Oryzias latipes: one gene and its partners. Each later gene encodes a partner of the first gene's protein in a complex. Links are inferred from orthologs where the notes say so. Each region holds a gene or a part of one and is shown in the gene's direction. Other genes may lie near its edges. The genes, in order: eif2s1, eif2b1 and eif2b4.

Evidence for each region.
Region 2: the proteins of eif2s1 (region 1) and eif2b1 are in contact, whole or in part, in a cryo-EM structure (PDB 6K72), measured with the Homo sapiens proteins. The link is inferred for Oryzias latipes from reciprocal best matches to the Homo sapiens genes EIF2S1 and EIF2B1. Residues at the interface, in NP_004085.1 of Homo sapiens: Ala28, Glu29, Met30, Tyr33, Gly44, Met45, Leu47, Leu48, Arg75, Lys80, Tyr82, Ile83, Asp84, Arg88; in NP_001405.1 of Homo sapiens: Gly39, Thr41, Ile42, Gln43, Gly44, Leu45, Arg46, Ala47, Asn48, Glu70, Arg74, Ser77, Ser80, Leu81, Glu82, Tyr83, Ser84, Asp85, Tyr86, Cys89, Leu305.
Region 3: the proteins of eif2s1 (region 1) and eif2b4 are in contact, whole or in part, in a cryo-EM structure (PDB 6O81), measured with the Homo sapiens proteins. The link is inferred for Oryzias latipes from reciprocal best matches to the Homo sapiens genes EIF2S1 and EIF2B4. Residues at the interface, in NP_004085.1 of Homo sapiens: Met30, Tyr33, Met45, Arg55, Arg57, Arg75, Glu79, Lys80, Tyr82; in NP_001029288.1 of Homo sapiens: Asn245, Glu246, Glu247, Arg250, Thr285, Ser520, Ser521, Asp522.

What each region holds. Positions count from the first base shown.
Region 1 is NC_019882.2:5,867,181-5,871,481, forward strand, and holds the start of eif2s1 (eukaryotic translation initiation factor 2 subunit 1), read left to right. Parts: upstream 1-1,500; 5' UTR 1,501-1,678; intron 1,679-2,584; 5' UTR 2,585-2,586; coding exon 2,587-2,827; intron 2,828-2,937; coding exon 2,938-3,017; intron 3,018-3,085; coding exon 3,086-3,237; intron 3,238-3,310; coding exon 3,311-3,417; intron 3,418-3,487; coding exon 3,488-3,585; intron 3,586-3,678; coding exon 3,679-3,822; intron 3,823-4,301. Other genes in the region: atp6v1d (V-type proton ATPase subunit D), read right to left, coding at 1,291-1,331. UniProt on the Homo sapiens protein: Member of the eIF2 complex that functions in the early steps of protein synthesis by forming a ternary complex with GTP and initiator tRNA. This complex binds to a 40S ribosomal subunit, followed by mRNA binding to form a 43S pre-initiation complex (43S PIC).
Region 2 is NC_019870.2:1,222,413-1,225,229, forward strand, and holds the end of eif2b1 (translation initiation factor eIF-2B subunit alpha), read left to right. Parts: intron 1-394; coding exon 395-511; intron 512-583; coding exon 584-696; intron 697-766; coding exon 767-835; intron 836-908; coding exon 909-984; intron 985-1,762; exon of another isoform or gene 1,763-1,930; coding exon 1,931-2,056; exon of another isoform or gene 2,057-2,124; coding exon 2,125-2,280; 3' UTR 2,281-2,296; downstream 2,297-2,817. Other genes in the region: ATP-dependent RNA helicase DDX55, read right to left, coding at 2,297-2,446, 2,513-2,805.
Region 3 is NC_019882.2:13,754,027-13,756,682, forward strand, and holds the end of eif2b4 (translation initiation factor eIF-2B subunit delta), read left to right. Parts: intron 1-56; coding exon 57-159; intron 160-247; coding exon 248-375; intron 376-1,261; coding exon 1,262-1,439; intron 1,440-1,555; coding exon 1,556-1,736; intron 1,737-1,838; coding exon 1,839-2,038; 3' UTR 2,039-2,145; downstream 2,146-2,656. UniProt on the Homo sapiens protein: Acts as a component of the translation initiation factor 2B (eIF2B) complex, which catalyzes the exchange of GDP for GTP on eukaryotic initiation factor 2 (eIF2) gamma subunit.

The sequences.
Region 1 (4,301 bases):
ACAGCGCCCGTTCATGTTTGGTGTTACACCCCCCCCCCCCCCCCCCACACACACACACACACAAACATACACACAAACAAAATCTTCCGGCGGGCGCCGTGTCACGCACTCAAGAACGCACGCAGCTTGTAATGGAAAGGAATAATTAGAACGCAGTAAATTTGTCGTATTTCCTGGCAAGACAGAAACTTCTATTGTAGAATGAGGATGTGTGTGTGTTTCTGAAACAGCGCACGTGTTTGTGTGTAGATAGAGTGTGCACGTGCTGCATGCTTCTCAAAGAGGAGAGAAGGACAAGAGTGATAAAAGGTTTCCCATAGAAACCCTTGAAGTCTGAACACAGGACTAGCAGAAAAAGTAGGGCATCACCGCACCTTTTTTTTTTTAAAGGTTTTTTTTTTTAAGTTTTGCATTACTGATAAAAATATATATATATACATTTTGTGTGATTGTTGAGCCATTCATTTATGAAATGTAGCTTTTATATATTTATAAGGATTGAATAATAACAGTGTTAAGATCTTTTTTGTAAATAACTAACGTTTAACGTACGCGATCCTTTCAAAATAAAATACATGTGAGTGTCAAATACGCTCCTCCTGCTGCATCACCTTTACTTGCAATTATAAGAACTTTGTCACTAAACAGCAAGAAAACAATATTGTGCATCTGAAGATAAGAATATGTGCTTTACACTTATTCTAAAAAAAAAACTGCTCTGACACATTAAACCTTATGACATCTGCCTGCTTTTTCAAAGCCAAAGAGCCAAAATGGAAGAATAAATGAGCTGCTTGTGGCTCAGGGACCTCAGGTTGCAAACCTCTGCTCTGATGTCATGTAGGTATGTTATTAGAACTCTGACAGAAGGGCAAACACACAAATTTAACGTTTTTTTTGGTCTGGAAAAGAGTCGCCAAGCTCTAAATTTGAAATGCAACCAAATTCTCGGTATTTGTTAATCTCAAAAACAACTATCTAATTTAACACGAATTTGAGTCCCCTTGTATGAGCTAAAGCAACATTTGCACTGGAACAGGTTTCTTCAGACAGAAAAACCTGTGAGTGACCAACGCAAGATGTTGGAAGCATCACATGACACACAAGGCGGCTCCTTCCTCTTTAGCGTCCAGACAGCACGAAAAGTCGAAACCATACGTGAGAAACACGTTTATGTAAGAATCAATCACAAACAAATAACCGATAATCAGCTAAAAACCCAATGAATCAATGAAATAATGTAGTTAAGCTAAGTGAGTTAGCAACTAGCAAGAAAAACAAGGTGCTTACATCCTGGACGGGAAAACGTCGATCCTTTCTTTTCCAGACATCTTCTCGGCTTTTGCAGGATACGATCTGAAAACGGGGCGTTGTATAAAAATGTGCTAAACAGACAAACAAACAACCGTCTTCATTCGGGATTAGTTGAAAGACTAAGGTAACTGCCGTGATCTTGTTCGTCCGTGATGATCAGCTGGCCTCTGGTCATGTGACTGCCCCAAGCTCGCACTGCACATGCGCGAAGCGATAAGCGCTCAAGATCTTTTCCGGGTCGAGCAGCTAGTCCACCTATGAATGCGAGCTAACGGCCTCAAATAATTAGCTGAAAGAAGTAGAGGGAACCAATATTTAGAGCACATAACATTCAAGTGTGTAGTTCTGTAAGCCCACGACACAGGTGAGTTGTTATTGACAGAAAAGAAGTTCGATGTTTAGCGTTAAAACAGGCGGTAGTCACAGCTAGCTGGCTAGCAGTTAGCCGCAGCTACATTGCACGCGCCACACGTGAACCCGGTGGTTAGCCAGGCAGCTAGCACGCATTAAGTCAATCCTTTTGTGTTTAAATAAATATCGTAACTCTTTGTGATTGATTGCGCATAGATAGGCACTTTCAAGTAGTCAAAGTGACCTTTTACTCGTTTGATAAATGCCTTGTTTTGGTTCTGTTCGTGCTTGTTTGTCCGCATTGCATCATTTTTATTAAAATATGAAACAACGAAAATAATGGATATTTAAAGCCTTATTAGAACATTACTAGATATATTTTAACAATATAGCATTATGTGTTATGGAAGAATAGATCGTTTCACTTCCTAGAGGAAATTACAGGATCTTAGATTCTACTTTATGGTGGTAGAAATTCAAATTTTTAGGCAATTCAAACTAAATTGACAAGTTCTTGATATGACTGATTAAAAAGTAGATACATATTGATTGGTCCATTTAAATGTTCATCCCAAACAGATGGTTTTTCTTTTTGCTGTGTTTACCAGAGCTAAAAATCCACTTTCATGCAATCCAGTCAGTATTTTTCTTAGTAGTTTTCCTATAAACTTCTATCTTAGCTATTATAACCTCAGTACTCCTTTTTATATGTTTACCGTACCTCATTTTAAATCCATCTCAATCTGGCTTTATATCACAAAAACCCAAATGAGCTCACCATTCTGTTAACATTCTTCAAACTTTGACTAGAAAATAAATAAGAATGAATTTATGCTGAACAATGAAATGAAAATGTTTCTTTTTAGCATAAGATGTGTTAGATTTGAACACGGTTTTGATTTTTGATGTTTTTCGACAGTGATGCCGGGGCTCAGCTGTCGATTTTATCAGCACCGGTTTCCAGAGGTGGAGGATGTTGTGATGGTGAACGTGCGTTCCATCGCAGAGATGGGCGCGTACGTCAGCCTTTTGGAGTACAACAACATTGAGGGCATGATCCTCCTGAGCGAGTTGTCCCGTCGGCGTATCCGCTCCATCAACAAGCTCATCCGCATAGGTCGCAACGAGTGCGTTGTTGTCATCCGAGTAGATAAAGAAAAGGGTGAGTGTTGCTGAATGTCTTCATAATGAGGGGTAAATCTTTGCAAGTGAATGCCTTTTTTACTGTTTTCAAATTCCTTTCTTATGTTCATTTTCTTCTTTTTTTTCCAGGATATATTGATTTATCAAAAAGAAGAGTTTCTCCAGAGGAGGCCATCAAGTGTGAAGATAAATTTACCAAATCTAAAACTGTATGTTTTTGTTTTTTTCTTTATGAAACCTTTGTTTTCATGCTGAGTAGACTGTCTTGTGTTTGCAGGTGTACAGCATTCTGCGACATGTGGCAGAAGTGCTGGAGTATACCAAGGATGAGCAGCTCGAGAGCTTGTACCAGCGCACAGCCTGGGTGTTTGATGAGAAGTACAAGCGGCCCGGTTATGGAGCTTATGACGTCTTCAAGCAGGCTGTGTCGTAAGTCCAAACAGAAAAGTCACAAATATATAAATACTTAACCTTTGTATAAGTTTTCAGCTTTTTCCTCCAGAGATCCTGCCATTCTGGATGGCCTAGACTTAACAGAAGAGGAGAGAGCCGTTCTGATCGATAACATCAACAGGCGACTCACTCCACAGGCCGTCAAAATCAGAGCAGGTTTGTTCTTTTTGGTCATTCCTGTTCGACAACAGGAGAACATCTTAATGACTCTGCGTCTTTGTCGTAGACATCGAGGTGGCGTGTTACGGGTATGAGGGCATCGATGCGGTGAAGGAAGCTCTGAGAGCCGGTCTCGGCTGCTCCACAGAAGCCATGCCCATCAAGGCGAGCCACAAACTGCGACTTGTTTTTTAAAATGTTCTCTGAAAACTGTTTAGGTTGTTCAACCAAACTTTTATTGTGGTCTTGTTGTCGTAGATCAACCTGATCGCTCCTCCTCGCTACGTGATGACGACCACCACCTTGGAGCGCACAGAAGGTCTGTCTGTCCTGAACCAGGCCATGGCTGCCATCAAGGAAAAGATCGAGGAGAAGAGGGGCGTCTTCAACATCCAGATGGAGGTGAGAGACTTTTATTTTGAAACGTTCACTTTTTGTTGTGCACAAGATAACACAAAACATGAACAAGAAATGTAATTAGACTCAAAATGTGAAAGGAAACTTTTCATTTGAGGCTGTCAGTATGCAATTCCCAGTCAACTATAAGATCAATTTTTGTCTAAAAATGTGGAATTTAACCGCAGCTTGCAATAATTTTAAGTACACTTAGTCAAACTGTCACTTAATTTGTTATTTTAAAAAAATTAATGATGAACTTGTATTTTTATAACCGCAAAATACCACAATAAGACGTCATTTAGTTTAACTTTAATGTTTTTCAAAACAAAAAACAAAACAACCTGCTACTTAAATGTTTAAACAAATGCCCAGAAATAGGATTAGAAATGTTATTAATTTTGCAAATGTTTGCTATTTAGAATGATTCTGAACAATCTGTGTATAGAAACTATTTTGATTCAATGTTTTGAATATTTGCTGAA
Region 2 (2,817 bases), on another chromosome or scaffold:
ATTAAAACTTTATTTTCATGAAATTACAACTTCATTTTTAAAAAATGTTATTCTATTCATCTTTCTTTTATTACTTTACCTTCATAAATACACAACTTTACTCACAGTTTTATGACCATTTTAAAAATTGTTTGACCTTTTTTACCTTTAATTTTACAACTTTGTTCTCCAAATGTTCCGAACTTCTTTTTTTTTTCTGTATTTTTTTGTGTGGCGCTTTGAACCTGGATGGTCGTTTCCTGCTGCCTGTGGTGGCACTGGCGTTCTGCGGTGGCGCTGGCGTTCTGCGGTGGCGCTGGCGTTCTGCGGTGGCGCTGGTGTTCTGCGGTGGCGCTGGTGTTCTGCGGTGGCGCTGGTCTCTGGCTGAAACGGCTGTTTTCTCGTTGGTCCTCAGGATTTGTCCCGCTGTAAAAAGGTGATGGAGGAGAGAGGAGAGCTCTTTCTGGAGAAGATCTCCATGTCCAGGAATAAAGTGGCCAAGCTGTGTCACACCTTCATCAAAGACGGCGCCGTGAGTTCCCGCCGCTCCCTCTTGGCGCTCGCCGTCCTGCCGCTCTCTCATTCTTCTGCTGATGATCCTCAGAAAATCCTGACCCACTCCTTCTCCCGAGTGGTGCTGCGGGTTCTGGAGAAAGCCGCCATGGAGAAGAAGCGTTTCTCCGTCTACGTGACCGAGTCTCAGCCCGACGCCGCCGGGTGAGTGTGCACGCGCGTGCGCACGTTTTTGTGCTGCAGAGACAGCCTCACTTCCTCCTCTTCCTCTCAGGCAGCAGATGGCGGCGGAGCTGGCGAAGCTCCACGTCCCGGTGACCGTGGTCCTGGACGCCGCTGTGGGGTGAAGCCTGCTCGGTTACAGACGTTTTTTCCCATCATGCACCGCGTCCTCCTCAATGCTCTGCTGTTCTCAGGTACGTCCTGGAGAAGGTGGATCTGGTCATCGTTGGAGCAGAGGGGGTGGTGGAGAGCGGCGGCATCATCAACAAGGTGAGGCGTGGAAGGGGCGGAGTCTCTGAGGTGGGTTTGGACCTAAACTGCAAACCTATTCAGACTGTGGAGTTCAGAAACAGTGAACATGTGGTTCGCTCTTCGACTGCAGGCGGACGGGCGGAAACTCCTCCGTCACCGTCTGATGAATCCTGAACTGGCGTGTTTTTAACCGCATGTGGAGCTGCGTTAGAAACACGCCTGAAAAGTTTCTTTAGTCGCCAAAATCGTCCTAGAGAAACAGCTAAACTCAAAGTGTTCTTTGGTCAGTGCATCCTTCATTCAGATATTTATAACTAAAACATAAAAATAAAGACGTGTCATTAGTTTACAGTGACTCAAAGAGACAACTTAAAGTTTTTTATTGTTTCTGTTAAAAGGAAATCTGACAATACTCAGATCTAAAAAGTACCAACAATGATGGAAATGCCTGGACAGCTGGGTGAATAAATCAAGCGTACCTTTGCAGGTAAAGGGTTCAGTTAACCCTTGTGCTATCCTAGGCACTTTAACGTTGGGAGTTGGGTCATCTAGACCCACTAGACAGTGGGGTCATCTAGACCCACTAGACAGTGCTCTGAACCTTTTTTCTTCAATGATTGGTGATCTTCTCTGGTGTCCATGGATTACATGAAATCTTTCCACCTTTATCCACCTTTGTCATGGTAGGGAGAACACGTCAAAGTAAGGGTGGGGTCATCTAAGATAGCACAAGGGGTAAAGGTTTTGTTTCATCAAACGAGCTTTATGGGAAAAATAGATTCAGACTTTTTCAGAATCAGTTAAAAAATCTTTTTATTCAAATTATTTTGATAGAAAACAGCAGATTTAATCATTGTTTTATCAGATACCAGTTTAGTTTTGAGAATGGAGACTCTTTTCAGTCAGACGGGACGTGGTGGCGGGACGTTTGCCCTCAATGACCTCGGCGCGTCTGTCCTTTCAGATCGGGACCTATCAGATGGCGCTCTGCTCCAAAGCTCACAACAAGCCCTTCTACGTGGTGGCGGAGAGCTTTAAGTTTGTGCGGCTGTACCCGCTGAACCAGCAGGACGTCCCGGACAAGTTCAAGGTCAGACCTCCTCTGACGGCGTTCCTGGATGGGCGAGCCCCGCCCTCACGTCTGTTTCTGCTCCGCAGTACAAAGCCGACACCCTGAAGAAGAGGCAGAACCTGTCGGAGGAGCACCCCGTCATCGACTACACGCCCCCCTCCCTCATCACCCTCCTGTTCACGGACCTGGGCGTCCTCACGCCGTCCGCCGTCAGCGACGAACTCATCAAATTATATCTATAAATGTCAATAAAGCGGTTCAGAGAGGGGCCTCTGCGTCCCGTTTGCTCTTCGGCCCGTCGGTCAGCTGCTGCTCGAAGTCTTCCTCACTGATCCGGCCTTTCTTCAGCTTCTTCAGGAGGCGCGTGTCGTTCAGGAGCTCCAGCGCCTCCTCCTCATCATCATTGCCCTGCAGAGAAGGAGGAGCTTAAACCGTCGGTCCTCGCAGAGACGGCCTCCAGCCGTCAGCGCTCACCTCTTCGTGCTTCCTCTTCACTGCCCTCCTCTTCCTCCGCTCCTTCTTGCTCTTCTGTTTGGACCAGGCTTTGTTCTTGGCGAAGTTCTTCTTGGGCGGCGCCGGCCCGTCTCGGTCCTTCTGCTCTGCCAGCGTCTTCTGCCTCTGCTTCTCCCTGTTCTTGTCCTTGTACGGGATGGCGTCCGTGTCCACCGCCGCCTCAGGGAAATCTGGGAAGGTCTTCCCCCTCAGCTCCGGCATCTTCGGGAGCCGGAGGAGCCCGAAGCCGCGCGCCAAGGCGGCGAAGTCCAGATCTGTCCAGATCA
Region 3 (2,656 bases), about 7.9 Mb from region 1:
CTTAATTAATGTAACTTATTGATTTTTTATTTAACAAAATCATGTGTTTTATCTAGTTTTTTGAATCAGTGTCGCCCCCTGTCGGCCAGCATGGGTAACGCCATCAAATACATCAAGAAGGAGATTTCTAATATTCCCAGCCAGTGCAAAGAAGAAGAGGTTTGTTTAAAACATTGAGTTCACACGTTAATTTATTGTGCTGAAGGTTCGGTGACACAGCATTTCTAATCATAGATGTTCTTTTCAGGCAAAAAACAAACTGCTCACCAGTATTGAGTGGTACATAAAAGAGAAGATCATTCTTGCTGCTACAGCTATCGCTCACTCTTCCATTGAAAAGATCAGTGATGGGGACGTCATTCTAGTTTATGGATGGTAAGGTGTTCAACATTGCTATTTTTGGGGTTGTCTGTAACAGTGGGCTCCAACCTTTTTTAGGCAGATGACCGGTTTAATGTCAGGCAATAAGTGGGGGTCAAATTATTTTGGCTTCTAGTTTCCCTCAACTTTTGAGGGTAAAGTGTATCTTCATCCTCTGTGAAATATCCCCAGTCGGTTTAATTATTATGTGCACACGAGATGTCATGGAAGAACCAATGTGATACAGATTTTCCTTGAACCTAAAACTGTCTTAAGTGGAAATGAAAAAGTTGGGTTTACTAAAGTATTACTTAAACGGGTATTTTCCTAAAGTAATTATAAACGTGAATCCCCCATTTGAGCAACTTTGTACTATTAGACAGGCAGTTTCTGATTATTCTTCATCATTATTATGGTGTGTGGGAACAACTGTCATAATAAATTCATATTTCTAGAAAACTACCCTTTTTTTGTCTGTTAAATGCAGATTTAGTTTTTCTTTAAAGTCAAACAGCCAGTGTGAAAAACAGATTTCTCACCGGCTCTTTTCTGCTAAAAGAATCTTTCCAAATATGTTTCTTATTTTTGTTAACTTTGTTAGCTTAGGAGTTTCAAATTATTGGTCTGAGCAGCTGACTTGACAGATATATTTTCATGGCTCAAAAAAAAAAAGTCATGTGGGGGAGAGAATCCAGCAGTTTTTCAAAAGAAAACTTCCTTCAGAATCAGAGTATAAATAAAACCGCAAATATGTAGAGAGTGGTACCAGCTGTCCCACAGACTGGTCAGTGTCAGCAGCCTTTGGGTTGGGGACCACTAATCTGCAACACTCTAGATTCCATTTTTCTCTAGCATTGGAGCATCTAGGTTTTGTTAATTGTGCGTCTGATCCCTCTGTCAGCTCATCCCTGGTCAACCACATCCTATGCGAGGCCTATGATAAACAGAGGAAGTTCCGCGTTATAGTGGTGGACAGCAGGCCTCGGCTGGAGGGCAGGGAGGCCCTGAGGCGCCTGGTCCAGAAAGGCATCAGCTGCACCTACGTTCTCATCTCGGCCGTCTCTTACATTCTTCCAGAGGTAATCAGGAAGCCATAACGGCAACAAAAACTCAATATTGTCACTTTATGAAGTGTTTCTCCTTGTCCAGAGACTAACTAGAATGTAAAAATGACTTTTTTTGTTTCCTCTTTTAGGTATCAAAGGTTTTCCTTGGGGCTCACGCTCTCTTGGCCAACGGATACGTCATGTCGCGAGTGGGGACATCACAGATAGCTCTGGTGGCTAAAGCCTTTAACGTGCCTGTGCTAGTGTGTTGTGAGACATACAAATTCTGTGAGAGGGTGCAGACAGATTCTTTTGTGTCCAATGAACTCGGTACGGACACCACTGATCACTTTTTTACTGTCAAAGGGTCATTCGATCCTTTCAGCTTCTGCTGTGCGTAGCGGCCAGTTAACCATCAGCTCTTCTTTCCAGATGACCCCGATGACCTCATTGTGACCCGCAAAGGTAAGACACAGCTGGCAGGCTGGCAGCAAGTGGCCTCCCTGGGCCTGCTGAACTTAGTGTACGACGTGACGCCCCCCGACTTTGTGGACCTCGTCATCACAGACCTAGGAATGATCCCGTGCACCTCCGTCCCGGTGGTGCTGCGGGTCAAAAACGTGGACCAGTGAACGGCCCTCACCTACCATCAGTTTGTGTGCAGATTTGAAGACAATTTCACAATATCGTGCTTTTAGCATGCAATAAAATATACCTGAAATGGCAAAAGTTTTTTTTTTTTTAAACTGTGTCATGTGTGTTTTTATGAAAGGGTTTTATTTTTTAACATCTCTTTAATGCTAGTTAAATAATAGATCCTCAACTTTTTTTTTTAATCTAAAGATCTCAAAGTTGTAAATCATGTTAGCATGTGATTCCAGCTGTAAAGTTTTTTTGTGATGACAGTTTAAACTATTTTAATGACACAAGTCAAAGGTCAAACATAGAAACCAGTCAGTTTATTTTCTTACATCAGAAGAATTACATACAATTTCCAAAGATATTTTACATAAAGCAATACTGACTCCCACAAGGGAGTATTTGTTTTCTGGACAAACTGAGCACAAGTGCAAACGCTGCAGCTTTTTAACTTTAACAAAATGTAAAAAATTAATAAATGAAGGTTAAAAGTCTAATCCCAATTGGACAATCCAAGACAAAAACCTAAGATCAAGGAGTGCAAAGAATTTACCTAACATGCATTATTAATTCATTTAGGTTTCTCTGTGACTCCACAGTTGTGTAACAGG